Linked DNA regions of Schizosaccharomyces pombe. Changing the gene in region 3 together with the main gene of any one other region gives a genetic interaction. Each region holds a gene or a part of one and is shown on either strand. Other genes may lie near its edges.

What was found.
Region 1: mutations in ste20 (region 3) and pmr1 together harm fitness more than expected from each alone (negative genetic interaction), as found in Schizosaccharomyces pombe (one large-scale study listed by BioGRID).
Region 2: mutations in ste20 (region 3) and SPOM_SPBC577.11 together harm fitness more than expected from each alone (negative genetic interaction), as found in Schizosaccharomyces pombe (one large-scale study listed by BioGRID).
Region 4: mutations in ste20 (region 3) and SPOM_SPBC146.02 together harm fitness more than expected from each alone (negative genetic interaction), as found in Schizosaccharomyces pombe (one large-scale study listed by BioGRID).

What each region holds. Positions count from the first base shown.
Region 1 is NC_003423.3:239,147-245,547, forward strand, and holds pmr1 (P-type calcium transport ATPase Pmr1), read right to left. Parts: upstream 4,497-6,401; 5' UTR 3,924-4,496; coding exon 1,224-3,923; 3' UTR 692-1,223; downstream 1-691. Other genes in the region: autophagy-associated protein Atg2, read right to left, coding at 1-367; ubiquitin-like protein modifier Hub1, read right to left, coding at 5,465-5,567, 5,617-5,718, 5,789-5,805. UniProt on the Schizosaccharomyces pombe protein: Transports calcium and manganese ions into the cell. Regulates cell morphogenesis through control of manganese and calcium homeostasis.
Region 2 is NC_003423.3:769,671-774,000, forward strand, and holds SPOM_SPBC577.11 (uncharacterized protein), read left to right. Parts: upstream 1-1,623; 5' UTR 1,624-1,647; coding exon 1,648-1,905; exon of another isoform or gene 1,906-1,938; intron 1,939-2,085; coding exon 2,086-2,185; intron 2,186-2,315; coding exon 2,316-2,677; 3' UTR 2,678-3,672; downstream 3,673-4,330. Other genes in the region: pre4 (proteasome core particle subunit beta 7), read left to right, coding at 12-800; dph6 (endoribonuclease), read left to right, coding at 3,810-4,330.
Region 3 is NC_003423.3:2,473,705-2,480,979, reverse strand, and holds ste20 (target of rapamycin complex 2 subunit ste20), read right to left. Parts: upstream 5,102-7,275; 5' UTR 4,842-5,101; coding exon 912-4,841; 3' UTR 518-911; downstream 1-517. Other genes in the region: SPOM_SPBC12C2.01C (uncharacterized protein), read right to left, coding at 1-49; SPOM_SPBC12C2.03C (methionine synthase reductase), read right to left, coding at 5,635-7,275. UniProt on the Schizosaccharomyces pombe protein: Component of TORC2, which regulates multiple cellular processes to control cell growth in response to environmental signals. TORC2 is required for cell survival under various stress conditions.
Region 4 is NC_003423.3:999,221-1,002,762, reverse strand, and holds SPOM_SPBC146.02 (uncharacterized protein), read right to left. Parts: upstream 1,913-3,542; 5' UTR 1,753-1,912; coding exon 961-1,752; 3' UTR 601-960; downstream 1-600. Other genes in the region: cut3 (condensin complex SMC subunit Smc4), read left to right, coding at 1-274; mediator complex subunit Med15, read right to left, coding at 2,683-3,542.

The DNA.
Region 1 (6,401 bases), 2.2 Mb from region 3:
AGGATTCATCAGGAGGTACTAGTTCAATTTCCAAACTTAAGCCATTGACTTCTAATTCAACGTTTAAATTTACAATATCAGTAACATTCAGTCTTAAAATTAATCTCCTCAACGTTCCTTTAGTAAAATTAATCATTGGAAGAGACACCACTGCATTCAGAAAGGAACAATTTAGCTGTAAATTGGACAACATTAGGACCCCTTTTGAAAAAAGGATGTCTATATCCTCAGGCTGCACATTTTCTAAAAGAATGGATCCAATAAGCTTTCTCAAGGCAAATGCTAATAGTCGACGTTGAACAGTCCTTGATAACGCCGCCGTCCAGAGCCAAGAGGAAGAATTTTTAAGCCATGAGGGTAACCTCATCATCCTCCTTTGCTTAATTGAATTTCGGGTTCAAATTTGTGTCTATCTCACACTTATTTGCCTCATTCAGATTTTGGTAGTGGGACGACAAATATGCGACGATAGCGTTGATGTACACGAAATAAAAACAATAATGCCAACATCTTGTGACAATCTAATGAATGGAAAATTTACTCATTGAAGACCAAACGTTAATGACAAGAAAAATTACTTAAGGCGAGTCGGTCACATGAATCAACTGTTCAATAAACATGTATAAACTGACTTTGAAACAGCACAAGATATAATGATACAAAAACAATTTAGAGCAACGCGGCTGTTTAATCTCGTATAATTTTTCTTTTGCATTAATTAAATGATGAAAAGCGACAACCGATTTTAAAACCTTTAATTTTGATAAGCCTTTATTATTTGTTTCTATATAGAAACTACAACTAATATGTTTTAGATTAACCTTTAGTCAGAATAAAATCATATAATTTGGTTTTAAGACTAACCAGTGAGGACTGCATCAAGGTGATGAATAATAAAGCCTGAACATACTAAGTGCTTGAAAATTAACCAAGATACAGGATTTTCGAAAAAAAAAACTGAAATGAAAAGTAACGATGAAAGCTTTTAAACGAATGGTATAGACTCGAGTACTTCATGGCAGAGAAGCAAACCCCTTTTGTGCCATAAGAATAAGAAACCAGCGGAAAGCTAATAATCATTAGTCAAAAAATTAATAAAATACAGGAATTTTTTAAATACATATAGCATTGGAATTTTGTATTCACAAAATAATAGTAAAGCTCCTTAAGTAATTTTAAACTTAGCACAAAGATATGCAACTTGTTACCGCAAAACGTATCATTTATACATTCCTTAGCAGATAATTGCTCTTTGTTCTAACAAGACCTTTACGGCGACGATACCATTTGCGAATTTCGTCAACCCAGAGAACAGAACTGGTACAAGCTAACAATATTAGAACATCTTTAAGTCCAATAGCTTCAGTTTGAAAAATACGCTGAAAGGGGGAAGCATAAACTACCAAGGCTTGACCAATTAATGAGCCTCCGACTGCGATATTGAACATTCTATTAGAGAAAATACCAAGCTTGAAAACCGATTTTGTTTCGGAACGACATGCTAAAGCATTAAACATATCGAAGAAAACAAAACAAGTAAAAGTCATAGTAGTATCTCTAGCTGTTACATTGCCGTCTTGCATTTGTACTCTAAATACCACAATAGTGACAGTAACTATTATAAATGCACTGAGTAAAACACGTTGTAAAAGCTGAACTGATATAATAGGAGCATTCCTTGGACGAGGAGGTTTCATCATCACGTCTTCATCAACTGACTCTACTCCGAGACTTTGTGCAGGGGGTCCATCCATTAGAATATTGATCCAAAGAATTTGCATGGCATTGAGGGGATTTTGGAAGCCGAAAACAGACGAAATGGCGATTAATGAAAGAGCAGCCACACTCGTAGACAATTGGAAAGTAATGAAATTTTTAATGTTATTGAATATTCCCTTACCTTCCTCAACAGCACTCAAAATAGTCGCAAAAGAATCATCGGTAAGAATCATATCAGCCGCTTCTTTGGCAACATCCGTACCTTGTCGACCCATTGCTATACCAATGTCTGCAAGTTTGAGGGCAGGTGCATCGTTTACGCCATCACCAGTCATAGCCACAACATCACCAAGGCTTTGAAGGGCTTCAACAATTTTCATTTTATGTTGAGGTGTAGTTCTTGCAAAGACTACTACACGGGAAACGGCATCACGTAAAGAGGAAGAATCAAGATCATCTAACTGAGCTCCAGTCAGCGCATAGTTACGAATTGCTTCTTCGTCATTACTAGGAATAGCCATACCCAAACTTCTAGCGATGCTTATTGCAGTAACAACGCTATCACCTGTAATCATAATAACTCGAACCCCTCCAGTCATTAGATATTGTACACTTTCGCGGACTTGGGGTCGAGGGGGATCGTTGATGCCAAAAAGACCATGAAATACAAGTTTATTGGTATTTATACCACTGGCAACAGCTATAATTCTGAGTCCCGAAGCAGCCATTTCAAACTCGTTACGTTGAATGTTCTCCTTCATTTCCGCAGTAAGCTCGTGTTGAACACCATCCTGATCGCTAAAATATGCACAACTTGACAGCACTTGTTCAGTGGCTCCCTTCATGAAATTCATTTTGCTAGAGTTGTATTGGACAGCAACAGACATGTATTTGCGCTCACTGCTAAATGAAACCTCAGATATACGACTGTACGTTTCACGAGGATCCTTCAACCCGAATCGCTCAGAACATTCGATTAAAGCGACATCAACTGGAAATCCAGCCCAGGGACAAGTAGTGTCCAAAATAGAATCAGCTTTGTTATGAACTTTACTATTGTTGCATAAAGCAGCAGCTAGAAGTGCCTTTTCGATACCAACAGTGCGCCTAACACTTAGCTCTATATGTTCACTTTCTGGTAAGGAGAAAGCTGCTAACATTCCACATGTATAAATTTTAGTAACTGTCATATGGTTCATTGTTAGAGTACCAGTCTTGTCCGAACAAATAACGTTAACACTTCCCAAAGTTTCAACACTGGGTAACCGACGGATAATAGCCCTCTTCTTAGACATGCGTAACACGCCTAAAGCAAGGGTGACTGTTACGATAATTGGAAGACCTTCAGGAATAGCGGCGACAGCCAAACTAACTCCAATTGTAAGCATTTCTAACCAATTTTTACCTTGGAAAAAACCAACAAGCACAATGACGGCAATACCAATTAAAGAGATTAAAGAGAGTTGCTTGCCTAAGTCATCCATACTGTTCTGCAATGGCGTCTTTGGTTTTTCAGTTTGCTGCATAGTAAGGAAAACACGACCGAATTCCGTATCAGATCCAGTAGCGACAACTATTCCTCTCCCATGACCATGACGAACGAGGGTACCCATAAAAGCTATGTTATTTCTTTCAGTAAGAGATATGTTTGAAGATATAGCTTCGCTACTCTTCTTTCGTGGCGAGTTTTCCCCTGTTAGATTTGATTCATCAATTTCCAACTCGGTAGCTTCAACGATTCGCAGATCAGCAGGAACACGATCACCAATTTGTAAGATAACTAAATCTCCAGGAACCAATTTACTAGCAACAATATGCTCCGTTTTTCCGGACCGGATAACATTGCAATAATGAGGTACAAGGTTATTCAGCGCCTTTAAAGATTGCTCAGATCGATACTCTTGAACAAATCCAACAGTCACGACAATAACTATAGCTAAAGCGATGCTAATAGCATCATCTATATTACCCAATGTCACCGAAATTGCAGAACTTGCAAAAAGCAAAAGAATTAGGGGATCTTTAACAAATTGCTTAAGAAATTGAACCACCATGTTTTCTTCATCTTCTACCTTCAAATCATTATCTCCATGAACCTTGTTACGTCGCGTGATCTCCTGGAGACTAGAGAGGCCATTATACATGTCAGTTTCTAAATCCGCACAAGTTTGCTCAACACTGAATGCATCATATTGAACACTCATTATGGAACTGTTTCATACAAAAACAAAAACGAGAAAAAGTAGTAAAAGAAAGTTGGGGTAATGTAAAAATAAAAAATCTTGTAAACAAAAAAAAAAAAAAGACACTGCTATTCGATACTTTCTAAAACGCCAGTATAAAAGCAAGTATTTAAGATGTAAAGGATTCCTAAATGCTCAGCACAAAGAATATACTTTCCAATGTTGAAAATTAAGAGATAGATGAATTTACCAACAATTAATCTAGACAATGAACAATATCCACTTATCACTCATAAAATCCAAAGAAATGTTGAAAGGAACCCGTGAGAAATAAAAAAAGAATTTATAAACTGTCCAAGCTCACTGTTAGAACGTTTCAAAAGAAAGTCCTAGAAAATCGGACTTATGAACCTAGCACGTCTCTGGTTAAATACCAACAGACCCAGCATACAAAAACGCAAATCCTGGCTTAGAACTTTGAACAACACTTGTTTATATTCTCAAAGAATAAAGCAGTACTTTTGTTTCGACCTTTTAGACTGGTAAGCTTAGACCAACGAAGGTGATCGTCTGGATGACAAGTTGGGAAAGGTTAGCTTGAGTAAAGATGGAGGCTTAGCAGATACTTCTGAGTCAAGCTATTACAACTCCAAAATGTAAAAGAAGTATAATCAATTCAGAGAATAGTTTTAAAAAAATTGAATACTCCCGTAGATGATTTTTTGGTAACCAATACATATCTGAAATTTTTTCATGTTAATGAATTTTCTGATTTTTTGAAAAGCAGGTCAATTGAGTTTCATCATTACTAAAAATGTTTAAAACCTGTTTCAAAGAATTATTTTCTTAAAAAAAAAAAAAAATATTACATTCAGAAGAAAGCAGGGCTAAGAAATAAAACAGTGGCGTAACATTATAAAGCTTTATACTAATATAATTCGGAATCCCTCTTTTCCTTGATAATTTGTTTCATCTTCCTTGGTATGATGAATAAATACGAAGCATTGAAGACATAATTTCATAAACGGTCATGAACCTAGGAAATTGGTCCTACCCATGACAAGATATAAGCCTTGTAAATTTAATGGTAAATTTGAATTTGAAAAATCCATTCATATTAAGAATAAACATACTGGTTTCCATTTTTAAAGCGGTTACACTTGACTAGAAGCGTAAAAGGCTTGATGAACAACTATTGATATGGCAGCTAGAAAACAATATTATTATCATTGTCTAGCTGACTTATATCACAATTTGGGGAGGTAAGCAATTTGAAAGATAAAAAAGTATCCAAATTATTAGACTCAAAAAGATAGCATTTCAACGAAAAATCATTATTTATTTAGTAGTTTGAACAGGTAAATACAAAACCTTCGAAGGTGAATTGAAAAAAATTGAAAATAATAAACCAAATTTCCTTTGTAAAAAACTTAACAAATCTGCTCAACAATATAACTCTATCCATCAGATTTTCATTAAACAAGTTTAAAGTCAATTTGCTACTTTCGTTAACATAAAACTTCCAAGTATATTATTTTTTAAGAAAATAAAAGTTTCGCTTTTTAAGAATAATACATCTCCAAGCTCATTCCATCGTGTATTTCATAGTCGGCTAATGTGATGTTATCCTTAAAGACGCTGTGCCATTTTTTTAAGACGATCCTTCTATTTTTTTGTTAACATTTTTTTAACAAATGATGAATTTAATCCTTACCTTGGATCTGTACCGGTCTGAGCTGCAACAAGTTTTTTAAAATCTCCAACTGTGTCATCAGGCATACATTTTACGCGTACTTTTTTCCCTAGACGATCGTTACTAAAATTTAGTTAGAGCTTTATGTTTTCCAATTTCAATGCTCCCAGAAAGTAAAATAAGTCAAACATACCATAAAACTTCGATCATATTGAATGCAAAAGTAATGGAGAGTTTAGTTACCAGTTTGTCTTCATTAAATGTTATTTAACTTTAGTCTCGTTAATAATCGTTAACGTCAGGAAAGTGCGTTAGTTTTCCTGCCGGTGAATTTTATAAGAATGAATTCAGTAGTGCATGTTATTGTTTTATGTGTTTCATTGTATAGAATCCACTATAAATCCATTTAATCTATACTCGTTGAGTACCTTTGTGAAGTATCAATTGCATCAGCAACATAATTTGATGCGAGCGTATGAATGGCCCCTTATAAGTATTCTGAGTATTTGTGATTTTTTATTTGAAATTCAAATTATCAATATTTCAATTAATTCCTTTTAATCGAATGTGTCCTATATTAGATTTCAGCCATTTTAGATGTTTACTAAATAGCGACTAATAATAACCTATTGTAAGATTGCCTTCTTTCGCACTATACATAAATAAAGAACTTTAGAGTACTTACGAAAGGCGTTCGCTCCGGTTTGCTGGGTCTTACTAATTCCTATTAGGTATGAGCCTTGCTCATAAGATTTGCATTCTTCTTCCAACTACTAAAACACTTGACAATTGTCAAGGTTTCTACG
Region 2 (4,330 bases), 1.7 Mb from region 3:
ATTTGCAAAAAATGAGTTTTTTAGAATTAACAGAGGTTTGGGGAAAGCCTCAAAAAGACATTTTTTTTCCTAGTGGCTCGGAAGTTGAAGAATCAACCGATGCACCAATTCAACGCACTGTTCAACCGATAGTAACTGGATCATCAGTCCTTGCTTTGAAGTTTGCAGACGGTGTAATGATTGCTGCTGATAACCTGGCATCCTATGGATCATTAGCGCGCTTTTATGATGTTGAACGGTTGACAAAAGTAGGTGATAATACGATTGTTGGCGCCGGTGGGGATATTTCGGATTATCAACAAATCCAGCGCCTATTAGAAAAATTAGAAATAAAAGAAGGAAATTATGGTGACGGCTATGCCTTACAACCTTCGTATATTCATGAATACTTGTCGAAGGTGTTGTACGCTCGCAGAAACAAACTTGACCCATATTGGAATCAACTCATTGTAGCCGGGGTGGATGGGGAAAATAAGGAACCATATGTTGCTTTTGCAGATCTTCGAGGAACTACTTATTCTGCCCCGGCAATCGCAACTGGGTTTGCCATGCATTTGGCTCTTCCTATGTTGCGTAAAGCCACTGACGATGATCGCTGGAAAACGCTTTCTAAAGAAAGCGCTCGTGCTACTATCGATGAATGTATGCGTGTTTTGTTTTATAGGGATGCTAGAAGTTTAAACAAATTTAGTGTTGCTACCATTACACCTGAGGGCATCGAATTCCAGACTGATCAATCTGTCTCCTCCAAATGGGCATTTGCTGAAAAGCAGTATGGTTACGGGACTCAAACCGTATAATTTGCACATAGTAAAGCATTCATGAATAACAAAATGATATGCGATACAACAGAGATGAAAATGCGTTTTGAGATACTAAGCATTCTTTAAGCTCACGAAATACTTCCTAATTGATTCATTTTGGTGAATCGAATGGTAAAAAGATATAATTTTTTCCCTGATTGTAAACGGTATAAATAAACGAGCTCGAGTTTATTGTTCTCTCAAAGCATCCGCTAGATACTTTATGAATGAATTGGTTAACATGCACTGCAACTTACTCTATATGATTACTGAATTGCATTTTATTTGCTTTTGGTTTCAACTTACGTATTGGAGCTAACATGACTTTTACTAGTTAGAGTAAGTTACCTTAAAAAGATGATGGAAGTAAATTGATCATCAATGAGTTGCTTTATGGTTTAATCGCTTGACCTAATAGTCTGTAAGAAATCCAACAATAATTAGGTAACGGTAGAAAGTTTACAAACAAGCTATTTGTATTTCCTTTATATATACTGAATATGTAGCATGGTTCTTTCATAGCGAAAACATAATTTCATTGAGAATTCAAGCATTTTATAATATTTAACTACTATACTTTGTTATAATCATGAACTGGGTAATACTTAGGCCATTTTAAATGGTACATTCTTTAAACCAAACGATCGCACACAGTGGCAAAGGTGAAAATTTCCAACAGCTGACAAACTACTCATAAATATTATATTTTGTTTTAAAAATGATATAAAAGAGAAATGTTGGAGTCTTTTGTTGTATTGACGATTTTATTGAAGCTACGTACGACTAGGACCTACTACTACTACCCTAAAAATTTAACCTCACCATTAGCCAACTAGACCATTGAATGCAACAAGATCTTTTTGGTTCAGATTCAATATGTCCAATCTCTTCGGACGATGTTTTGAAAGCGACAGATCCTAATTTTGAGAGTTGGAGAGAGAGGATCGTTCAGGACGCCTTGAAAATTGTCGAACAAATTCCTAAATGGAAACACCTTGGAAATCATGATGGAGTTGCGCTATACGAAAAGGCACCTGCTTATACTGGACATACATGGTATGGTAGGGTGTCTAAACATACACGTTCCCTGAAAACTTTCAAGGTAAGTTCTTACAAGTGTTGGATAGTGGTTTGTAAAATGGTTCCAAAATTTACCTCTGTATATACAACGTACTGGAGACTCTAATACCATAAAATAGGAATAACATTAGTCCTTTGATAACTTGAGAAATCGATTTTTCAACCTATTCATCCATCGCACTAAATGCTAACAACAGCTTAGAAAGGATTGCTATACGAACATATCAAAAAGGAAGCTGATTATGATCCATTGGTATTTTCAGCACATCAATTGGAAACTATTATCGAGGATGAAATTGAGAGTACGTTTGAAATGTCATTTAAGCGAGTAATGTATCTTCCTTCATGGATGAAAAAATTTTTATTTCAAGCATACATTATTTGCTTATATTTACCATTATTATTGTATTTAATTACTCACATTTGTTTCAGTTTGGATGTACAAGTACAAAACCCCTTGGTTCTTTCGGAATCGAGTTTACAGACAATTGGTGGTTTCTGTGATGCTGGACCCGGATTCTTTTATTGTTCTTCAAACTCCAGTTACATATCCAGGTTCCTCCAGTGGAGGAGGGAATGGTGTCGTTGCTCTTTATGACTCTGTTGACTTTGTTTCTAAGAAACTGGACGGAGATGGTAAGGAAGAGGGTGTTTTATGGATTTGCGCTGTCCGTAATGATTATGGAAGTATGTTTTCTGGATTGTTTTCTGATACAACGTTTACAAAATCATTGGTGCGTCAGGTGAAGCTTTACAATGAATGGTTAAATCGAACGTATCCTCGTAAAGGATAGCAAAAGTTTTGCTGTTGTTCAAAAGTTTCTTAATACCATTTCGCATGCAGAGCTTCATCTTTTACTTTAGAGTTTCCCATTCCTTGTTCATCGCAGTGACCTGCCTATCTTTTACTCAGCGAGTTATGCCCTTGGATTATTAGTAATCATGCATTAGAATGCCACTTGATGTCTGTGTCCTTTTACCTTCTGTTTTCGTAAGTCCTTCAGTACTTTAACTTATCTGCTTTTGAGATTAAACTTGTTATTTATTTTGATTATTGCTTTAATATGTGTTTTATGGAACCAGAATCTTTCCTAGAAGGTTAAAAGGTTTCTCAGCCCTTTTAAATGTTTGGTTTCATTAAAGCTTAACACTACGGGACTCTGTCCGTAGAATTCTTGCCTGTTATTAAAAGAAGATCAAGTTGTCAATTATTTAATACTTCAAATAGACAGTTTATGATGTCTTATATTTCATAAATTGTAGTTTATTTTTTTTTTAGCTTGTACATGCTTTATCAATTGCTATTTGAAATCTGGTAATTTCATAAACGCATTTAGGTTTTTTTTATGCATCGTTGCCGGTTTTTGTTGGTTGTTACCCTTAATTTTGCTCTTCTTTCTGCCTCTTTTTTTCCTTGGCAGTAATTTTTTTATCTGTTTTATTTCGTCCTTCACTTTAATTTGCACAAACTGCTGAGCGGTTTTAGTGCTGTGAATGATGAAATAAAGCGATAGTGTTATATTCCTGAAGTATATCTTTGCTAATTTTTAGTTCTTTCTCCTTTCATTGTTCATTAATGGAAGATTGCTTTGTTTATGTTCAGCCGCAAGCGTCTTTTCATCATGAACCTTTCTATCCTCATCCTACGTTACTGTGGAGATCGGAGCTATACTTTACGTGTTGGTTTCAAGCATAAAGTTTTAACATTTAAATTTTTTGTCTTAATTTGTATTATTAGATTTCGAGTTCTTTTAGTTTATTTAGTCAATATATCTTGATCATTGATAAATACCGTATTGTAGTAATGTCGTTATTTATATATGTTTTTGAAGTAAACAATTAATGTTGCCATATACAAACACGAAGAAAGCTTGAACTGAAAAATAGGGAAATTTACAAGTATTTTAGAGTTAAGAAAAACCATTAATGAAGGTCTTAGGGCTAATCAGCGGTGGAAAGGATAGCTGCTTCAACTTGATGCATTGCGTCTCTTTAGGCCATGAAGTAGTAGCCCTAGCAAATCTTCATCCTGAAGATGGTAAAGATGAGATTGACTCTTTCATGTACCAAAGTGTTGGACACGATGTAATTCCATTGTATGCTGAATGCTTCGATCTACCGTTATATCGAGAGAAAATCGGTGGACAAAGTATCAATCAAAACTTGGATTATCAATTTACAGAAAAGGATGAAACAGAAGACTTATATAGACTCATAAAGCGTGTATTGACAAATCATCCAGATCTCGAAGCCGTTTCTACCGGCGCTATACTTTCCACATATCAACGGACTCGAGTAGAAAATGTTTGCAAACGGTTAGGTTTGAAAAGCTTGTCTTTTCTTTGGCAAAAAGATCAGGAAAAATTACTCAACGATATGGTTGTTTCTGGTTTGAATGCCATCTTGATCAAAGTAGCTGCAATTGGCCTTACGAGGAAGGATTTGGG
Region 3 (7,275 bases):
GAGAAGAAATCAAGCTTAGACGAAGTAACCTGTATGTCACATTGTACATAGCAAGAAAAAAAAAAAATCAATAATGTTCCATAGAAATAAACCCTTAAACGTACTTCCTTCTTTTGTCTATTAAACAAATCCGAAAACCTATCGAGTTATGTAGTCAAAAGAGTGTAAAAACCCAAATATATATATATATATTTTTTTTCAAATTATATTTATAAATTTATTTCCTTTTTTTTAAAGAATAATCTTCTTCCTTGCGAACAACCAAAACAAATTAAAACCAAATGCGATGTTGTATGAGATTTACTTGTGAGCAGAAATATGCCCAAACTCCACGATATGTTAAGCAAATACACTTTCGTTTAGTTATATAGGATTTGCTAATTTACTATAACATGAGGCTGCCGTTCGTTGCATACGTTGTATGTGGAAGTTGAGCATAACTTGCTAAGCATGGGTATTACATATAAGTACACCTTTGTGGTACGCAATTTTTATATTGATAATAACAGCGTACAAAGTAAAAATTAGCACGAAAAGATGAAAGGCAATATATTCTTGTTCATATTACTATCGTATGGAGGCCAGGGGCTAAGCAGGCCTACCTAAACTACACAAATTCAAAAAAATATCCGCAAGTATCAGACATGTCTTATAAATATTAGATTAATAATTTAAACATCCAAAAACAATTATAAACTCATTACTAACCCTAGCGCAATCACCTTTTATGTAAACACTAGTCTAACTTAGTAAATAAACTTATGAAAAGAAACAAAGAGGGAAGGTCAAAGAATAAGCAGAAAACTAAAGATCAAACTTATTGAATAACAGAAGAAAAACGATAATAAGAAATCATAAAAATCATTAATTTACAAAAATTTTAGAAAAGTGAAGGTTCGGAAATTTGGAGTTCATGCGGAAATTGACAAATTATTCGGCCTGGACGGGGATTCATTTAAGTCCTGTGAGGTTGAGGAAGACAATAAAACCGAGTAAGGAAATAATTCAAATACAAATTGTTGAATCTGAACACGGTAATGGAATTTTCCCAGAATGGTCATACAAGCTTTCACCAAACGTTTAGAGGAGAAAACTTTAGCATTTTTCGAACGAATCTTTGTTAGTTGCCGTGCTGACTCGTTTGTTAAAACATGGTTTGACAAATTGGAAACGAGCCTAATTACCTCTCTCTCTGAGTTAGTTAAAGAGCTAAGTAATGAAGAAAACTCAGGAGTTGGCACGCGCTCATTTACAAACTCAACATTTCTCCTTGGAGTTGATAATACTTGTCCAGCATGTCTCGGAATGCAAATTCCTTGTGAAGTGCCCATTAAAGACATAAGGCTATACCAATGCAGTGATTCGAGTATCTCAACGCCTTTAGAAGTCCTGGAAATCAAGCCTAATACAAAATAAGCAGTTCCTCGAACAGTAGGAATCAATGAATTTTCGGCATATTTGACAATCAACGGTATCGTATCATGGTTAATTAAAAACGTAATACCCTGATCGGTTTTTCCAATGTTTCCTATAGCCCAAAGAGCACTCTTTAACTGCCTGATGGCTTCATTTCCTAACGGTTTATCGTAAAATTCCACCAAGGTACCCATAAAAGATTCAAAATGCCCAGAAGACTCGAGAACCTCACAACCTTGTGGAGATTTGACTAATTCGCCATAAAAGTGTAGGGGAAGTATATTTTCATCTGGTTCATTGTTTTTCTTGTCAATAATTTTGAGATTTGAAACAAAAGAAAGGAAAAAATTTTGCTCCAATAAATCCACGTAATCTATATTTCGATGATGGTACCAATTATCGAGTTCATGTTCAATAAAATTAATTTCAGAAAGGTAATGAAATCCGACAGTTGTAGCAAGAAAACGTAAAAGTAAAGGTGAGCCAATTTCACCCAAATGGGCCAATGAAGGTTGAAGCTGAACAACTTGAGCCAGCAAGTTTTCATTTCGAGCACAAACTTCATTCAACACCTTCACTGCTGTTTTACATACTTCCAAGCAAGGATCGTACAGTTGAAATATCAATAGAGAAATTGCCCAGTGATTTAAGTTGTCATTGGCAGACTCAGAATTGATTAAAGCCGCAAGATGCTTGGTTGCAGTTAAGCGTACAGCCTGTTGCCCGGTATTAAGCGCCTTAGAAAATATAATTCGTGTGTGCCCCTCTAGCCGATAATCAAGATTAGTCAGAAAAATAATTATGAGATCGTCTCTGTTCCTCAATTCTGTCAAATGGTAAAGTGTAGTAAAAATCCTCCATCGTTCCATAATTGCATGACCTTCCTTTTGGCTTGACAATACTTTTAACATAGGAAAGTAACCGTGGGTGAGGGTTTTCTGAAGCCTACTGTTCGAGAAAATCGGCTCAGAAACCTGTTCTGAATATCCGTCTATCTGGCTAAGAGATTCTGCTATTTGTTTAATCACTTTGCTTTCAGAAAGATATTTAACGCCTTCCGGATTGGCTAGTAAAGTCCTGAAAACAAGACAACCAACCTTTATAAATTTTTGATTTGGTTTAGTGTTTTGTATGGAAGAAAATCTGTTGGAAAAGGGTTTATAAAATGCTAAAAGCCGTCTCATAAATTTTGTGGTTCGCAAAGTTTCATCAATACGTTTCGGACTTAGCAATGGACCCTCCATAATTTGGACAAGTGTATCCCATCGCCATTTTTGATAGTTTTTTGTAGCTAACACGTTGGTTTCAGCTAGCATACTACGAAAATGTGAATCATCAATCTGCATGCCCATTTTCAATTTAACATGCTCAACCTGTCTTTGCCCCCGAAAAGATCCATCAGTTTTTTGCTCCTTAAAAAGAAGAGAGGTTGTCTGCGAGAAAGGTTGTGTTGCAGAATGGAATTTAACTCTATTCAAACTTTCAATGGATTGAAGAACAGAAGTGGCAACAAACCTGTCTTCGGCAGTAAATTGAGAAGCCATATTAAATAAAGATGGCAAGGATTGTATTTTGGCTCCTAAATGAATCGGCAGTAGCTCATCAGACAGCCTCAATACCTCTCCTAGAAGATATGTAGCTTTACGTGAGGCTGATGGGTCATCGCTGGCCCTAATCATACATACAATAGATTCAACCAAACCGAGCTCCAAAAATATAAATAATAAGACGGCTGTAAAATGTTGGCGTAGCGACATGTACTTTTTGTTGGAACCATCCGGTATATTAACCATGTTTATGTTATCATCATTAGATACAGCCTGATTTTTAACGACTGTTAATCGTTTTCCGGCCAAAAAAGACTCTGACCAACTTGAATACTCAACTTGGAAAATTAAAAAGAAAAGATCAATTACATCGCTTCGTGGAGCAAAGGATGGAACCCGAAGTGTATCAACAATCGACCGAAGAGCCTGAAAATCATTGGTAGACAAAGCCAATAATCCAGACCATGAATTAAGCAAAACAGAGGCAACTTTGGCGGAAGATTTCATGGCTTTTGCAGCTTGTTCAGACTGTTCCTCAGAGGAATTAAATGTATCTCGCGAAGAAGAACTAGTAAAAGGTGAAAGTAAAATGCCAATATCGTAGGGTAAATTTACGTAACAAGCGCTTTCAGGATCATCCAAAAGATATACTAATGCAAGTGCAGCACTAGCTGCTAAATTCTCAGAAATACTTCCATCGATTAGGGAGATCATTAAAACCCTTAAACCATTAGCTTTAAATAAAATTTTTGGTCGAATAATCATTAACTCGATAAGAGTTTCAACAGCAATTCCACGACTAACATCTGATACATGCTCACAAATTGAAATGATAGTCCTCGTAATACCTGAAAGATAATCCTCATGTCCTTCAGTTGATGAAAGAAAATAAAGAGTTCGGATTAGTCGGAATGCTTGCTCTCGTTCAATTTGATATGCATCGGTACCAGAAAGTAGAGACTTTGACAAGATCCAAGGTAAATTCAACATTTGACAACAAGAGAATGCTGTTGCGTCAAGAAACAAATGCCTTAGTAGTCTATAAACAGAAGCCGTAACTTCAGAGACATTCAACTCGAGCATTGAAAGTATGGTCGGAGTAATCAAGGAGAAGTTTTTTGCATAAGCGGGATCAGAATGTTCATGTAAGTATTCACATAAATTATTTGAGGAATCGATTACATCCTTCATACTGCCTTCAAGACAAGCCTTATATATATTATCAAGCCAAGGATTTAATGGAAATTGTGAGAAATTCGATTGCAAACTAGAAGGACGTTTTCCGTTAGGTTGAGTATCTTCAGAAGAAGAATTATTTTTTTCGTTGACATTTTCAAAGTCAATTCTTTGAATGACGGTAGGAGTTAAATTGCTATGCGCATTTCTGGTAGGACCTATTAATTCACCAGTCCCACTGACTGTAACACTGCAACTATCGCTACATCCTGCTTTGTAAGAAAATCTCGTACTATACTTTTCCTGCAATGAGCTCTTTCGACTGACAGTCGCAGAAGCAGACCTCGTGAGACTGGTTGAGCCAGTTTTTGCTTCACCATTTTCTCCTTGGAAAGATTCAATGCTAGAAACTAATTCCTCTATCTTTTTTTTAGATGATTCGAGCTCATCGGTACATTTCTTTTTTAACATTTCTTTACGTTCTTTTGTTTCTTTTTTAAAATTGGTGTCGAAGACTTGCAGCAACGTTTCAGCGCCATCCCGTATTTTGCACTCAACTTCGAGCTTTCCCTTCAAATCCTCAAGTAACTTGAGCCTTTTTGAATCAGTGGTATTCATTTTTTTGATAAAGTCACCATTAGTTTTGGCATGGGAACTTATATCCAAAGCAGTATCGGTTTGTCCCCTTCGCACAGGTTTCATGAGCACTGATCATTAAAAGCAGGAATAAAAAAGCTATCTCCTTCCATAAGCGCCTTCATGAAATAGCCTTATAAAGGGATAGTATGTTTTCGTACTAATACTTATTGCGTGCAACACGCGATTGCTTACTGGGCTAGTCAAACTCTCAATTTTTAAGCAATCTAGTAAAATTAAAGATATTAACACTTAAATAATAACTTAAGATTGTGAAGAGTCCTAAAATGATAATGCTTGCGAACTATGCTCGTATGCTCATGGATACCCCAACGGCTGAACTTAATCGGAGTTCTGTTACCGGCGTTAACGATTGTACGACATGGAGTGATGTTTCGCTATTAATGGGCAAAACAAATTTCCTTAGAATTCGCTAATAAATAATTAGATACTAGGTACTGGTTCACTAAAGAATCGAATCCTTAATGTTTACTTTACAGTCTCAAGATTGCTAGTTAACAGTATACGAAAACATGAAGGATAAATCAAAGCAAGAGAATAAGATGAGTAAATTATATTACTACAATCAACTATTAAAATTTGTTTATATTTTTATTTATGGAAACAAAAGGCTAAACAAAAAATGTTTTAACAGATATGCCCAAGCCAATATAGAATTAAAATGCCATTTTGAGATACAAATATTGCTTTCGAAACATTTCAAAAAAGATTTTTTTAAAACGAAACGATAATAAAAAAGACAGAAAAGAATCGAAAATAATGTGAAAAGATAGTAAACAAAAAAAAAATTTTAACGAAAAAATAAATATTGGTAACGTGGATAAACAACTTCATTCATTTACCAAATCTCCTTTATGTATTTAAGGTTAAGTGGACTTTGCCAAAGAGCAAGTTGTTGGGTAGCTTCCAGCCTGCTCATTTTTCCGTATTGAACGCAAACATCAATCAAGGCATTTTCAACACCATCTAAAAATCCCTTTTTACCACCACAAAGATAAACCTTCCCATGAGGATGACTAAGAACACTCCATACAATGTCACCACGGTGTCGAATCTCGTCCTGTACATAGGCATGTTGGTGAGAACGTGATTCAACAACAAGATGGTTGGGGCCACTAGTACCGTCTTTTTTAACTTCGAAGGAATCCATTTCAGTTTCGGTTTGTTGGCTGACTGTAGAAGATGCATCATCGTCTGAAGACTTTTGAAGCGGGTTTTCCCACTCACCATGATAGAGCTCATCCAATTCTTGGTCGCGGCATCCATGGAAAACCCAAACTTTACCAGCACAAGTGGCATTTGTAAGACGTCGTTGCACAAAACCTCTAAAGGGAGCAACACCTACACCGGCACCGATTAGGCACATAGGGCCATCAGAAGCAAAATGTGTGGCAAATGCGTTTTTGTGCAGACCGCGGTACATTGGAAGGACGAGATCTCGTTCACCATTTAAAAATCTCAATGCCAATCTTTTCAAAAAACCAGAACCAATACCAGAACGAGTGCCTCCTTCAACTTTATTGATTTCAACAACTGTAACCGCAAATTCCAATACATTATTACTGACCTTGGGATCGTTTGACAAAGAATACCATCTAGGCATAAGCTGGGGAAGCACGGTTAAAAGGTGATCAAGAGGAAGTTGAACACTAGGGAAAGCCTTTAGCAGAGTGATAAGTGTAACGTTGTGGTCCCTTAAATCACAGAAAGCACGTTGTCCCAAACGACTGACCAAAAACAACAAAACTTGCCGCTCGGTATCATCCTTGGCGTATTCGGCAAGTAACCGAATAAGCTGCTTTTTTGGGGCGACAGACATAAACTCCACGGTCCATTTAAGAAGCTCACGCCTGGTTGTAACGAGTTCTCTAGGTGTGTCTTCTGCCCAGATGGTGGGCCAACGACCTCCATCGGTTTTTAAAAGGACAGGGGCATCTGCCTGGTCGGGATTGATATGAAGTAATTGTAAAAGCTCATCCACATCCTCTTCGTTGTTGGGAGCCATTACACCAAACGACCCTCCAACCATCCACTCTTCGCCTTCAGGAAGGGGATAGTTGGAAACGTCTAGTTCAAAATGGAACACACGTTTGACAGCACCTGGTTTAGTGAGCTCACGAACGTCTAGTATAGGGGCGGGAAAGACACTGAACGGAGGGTGTGGTTGAACATAGTGAGGAGGCATTCTAGAAGGAGTTGAATGAATTTGAAAGTTGGGGTCTTCTTTGGCACGAGCCTCATCGATATCAATCAAAGAGACATGATTCTCGGGAACTTTGGGAATTCTGTCAAGAGTAATATTTTCATGTAGAAGACCTAGATCCATGTTCAAAGCCTGGAAGGTAGGGTTTAATGAAAGTTTGGAGAAGGTTTTGGAAAGTTTATTTACCGACTCATCGACATTGGCCGATTCATGAGGTTCCGAAGGCGAGCAACGACAGTTTATACAACCATTCTCGTTGGAAACACACGTTTTAAA
Region 4 (3,542 bases), 1.5 Mb from region 3:
GAAGACGTTAAGTTCTCTAGCCCTTGTCTTTGCTCTACATAATTACAAACCGACTCCTTTATACGTTATGGACGAAATCGATGCTGCATTAGACTTTAAAAACGTTTCGATTGTTGCGAATTACATTAAGGAAAGAACTAAAAACGCGCAGTTTATTGTTATTTCTTTAAGAAGTAATATGTTTGAGTTATCTTCTCGTTTGGTTGGCATTTATAAAACGGCGAATATGACTAAGAGTGTCACAATCAACAACAAGGAAATACTTACAGATTAACTGCACATTCAAATAAAAACGTAGAAAATTGGAAACTAGATATTTAATAATTTACGAATTTTTGGCTACTGAATGTCAGTGTTTCATAATTCACAGTGTGCATACTAATAAATCTATGTTATGAGAAGATTAAACTAATTTAGTTTTGTGGCACCCAGTTTATGTTAATGTTTCAGAAATCTGTTTATGAACGTAATAGGACTACAAATATATAAAATTAATCTTCACTCGCTTTTAAAGCCTGTAAAATCTGCGCAAAGGAATTGTATATAATTAAATATGTTGTTTACATCATCAATTTCAGAAGGTATCTACAATTTGTAGTTACATAGTATAATATTTTAGTGGGTAATGCTTTTAAAGATTTATTGCAATCGTATGCATACCATATAGAACGTATCCAATTTTAAGTAATTTAATTTTATGGTAGTAAATTAAGAATAATTAGAAACAAACAATAAATTAGATTAAACAATATGAGTCGTAAACTTAAATAGGAAATCTCAATGCACACGACGAGATAAATGAAAGACCAATTAACAAGAAAAATGCAAATGATAAAAGCTTTCCAGCTAATAAGAGATAGGAGGACTAAGGAAGAAAGTAATGAAGGAAATAAATGAATGTTAATTACCACATGGCTAGCACCATGTAGCCTAACATGGAGCATCTGAGTAACACTTATTTTATAGCCAGTCGCACTGATGGTGTTCCCACCCATTAAACTCAGTCAAACCCAGGTGCTGAATTTTCCTCTTCGATTTCGATCGGTTTCTTTTAAAGGACAAGCTTGATTCGCCTTTCACAGCAGATTTAAGACGAGAATACGCATCAGAAACTCGGGAAGTAACATTTCTTTTAGAAGGTGTTCTGTCTATTAGTCCCTTGCGAGAGGAAACTTCTTCAATATCGAAAAACTCTATATCATTTGCAGAATTTTTTAAAGTGCTTTTACTACTCCTTCTATTGGCTCGTTTTTGAGCAACAAGCTTCTGAATTGCGGCGCATTCTAATCTGTATTGCGAATTGCTAAGTTCCTCACCAAGTGCACCTCTTGCAAGCCGTGCAGGGGAGGATGGTGAGGCATAACGACTATGGTTTGAAGAAAGACCAAAACCCTGCTTTCCAACGCTGTTTAGCTGTTTCGAAACCGAATATTTATGAAATCTTAACTTTAATGGAGAGATTGGTGAAAGTAAAGGACTTGAATCACCAATGGAGTTCGATGCCGCTTCCAACAGCCATGGCGAATGCTGCGAAATGTTTTTGTCCCAAGGTGATACTGGCGACTTTAACTCTTTATATATGGCATTGATCAGTTCGTCAGATATATGATGTGATAGCTTCAGTGAATTAGAGGTGCTATCTCCAGAACTTGACCTTGTTCTATCGCTTTGATCATCACTGCCATCAATGAAACAGCTGGTTTTTATATTATGGAGTTGCAAGGTTGCTGGTTTTTTCCTTATACCATTCATTGTAAGTTTAAAAGCAATTAATCTGCTTGATAAAAAAATTAATTGACTATTTTGTACTTAATAATGAAGCTAGGAGATCTCTGTATTCAATTATTGTTAAATCCTACGATTCTTATTTCAATGAATCAAGAAATAATATATCGTTAGTAAGATAACTTTTATTTACAGTAGGCCACGAGTTAGCGTGTTATATACAAGACTGAGATCACAAGGTTTCTTTGTTCATGGAAGACAAAGAAAGCTTTTATTGACTTCAATAATACGTAAATTTTAATTAATTATTAAGCTCAATAAATTATCGGGAGTTTTGAAATATTAATTTGTTTTCTCATGTTAGATGGTAATTCGAGATAGCTATTTGGCGGTTAGGTTAAACCAAAGCTCTTGAACCAAAGCAAAAACATAAACTGATAGCTACTTTTAGAATATTTGAGATAGTAAACATTAAAAACTATACAAATATTCATTTAAGAGATTACAAATTAATTTTCAACACCAACCGGTGCACTAATAATAAATTAACTAAAATCAACTTAAACGTATGAATAAATAAAATTTGTAACGGTCCTCATTATACCGACATTTTCATGTTCACAATGAGTCTCATAGACAGGTCATTAATCGGGAAAAAGCCATACTTTCTGGCATTGTGCCTAATAAAGGTACAACCGGATCTTCAAAATATTAAATTCAGGTTCTATTTTTATCATTGTATATAAACACAAGGACTATACAAACCTTTTCCCAATCACAATTTTCAACATAACAGATGCTTTCAAAAAATGGAGAAACGTTGAATAAACAGAGAAACAATATATGTCTATGGTATTCATAAGATATTGTAGAAGGACAAATATGTCCAATTTGCTTTTTGAGACGACGTGCAATAAATAAATAAAAAACAATTGCGAACCATCGTATCACAAAATTTTAAATCACAACTTGCCATATGTTTGTAGATGTTGGAAATGCGATGTTGTCTTCATCTTCGTTACCCACTTGAAGCTGCTTTAGCAAAACTTTCTTTTCATGAAGCATTTCATTCCATGGATCTTTATCGTCGATCGCTGGATCTAGAAAACATGATTCATCAAAATTAATTTGAGTAAGCTTATTTTGCATTTTAGTCTTATCTTTATCTGCATCCAAAGCAAGATTCATGGTATCTGGTTCCTTTAAAAATCCGATTTCAGAGTTGATTTCATTACCTAAATCAGCCCAAAGCTCCGAATCATCATTAAATGAAAATTTTCCGTCCAATGACAAAATATTAGATGGACTAAGTGAGTTTTTGTTATCTGTAAATGATAAATCTGGAGTTGACGGAGGAATGAAAAACGACTGAGGTGTTTTCAAAATAGAACTAGGAGTCTGTGATGATTTGATAGCAGAAACTTCTTCTTCATGGTCTACAGCCACAAATGCATCGATTGCGTACTTCAAAGGATTAGCAATTGCTTCTTCCCGAGCTTTAGCCATTCCTTCCTCTTTGGCTATAGTACCTGGAGAAACACTAGAAGGTATTTCATCTACACTTGACATTATAACATCAGGAGTATTTACGACTGAATCCTTAGGTTTTTGAACTGTCGATAAGTTTTCTATCTTTTTCTTCTTAGAAGGCGGTAACTTGAGATCTTCTGGTTTTAAACCATGTTTCATGACTTGTGATGCAATCTTCTGTTTGGCTTGCAAATCCGGCTGAGATACATCCAAGGATTGGAATGCAAGTTTACTGTCAACAGGAAAAGATGTGTTACCAACAGAATTTGCTTTGGCTGCAGGTTGGG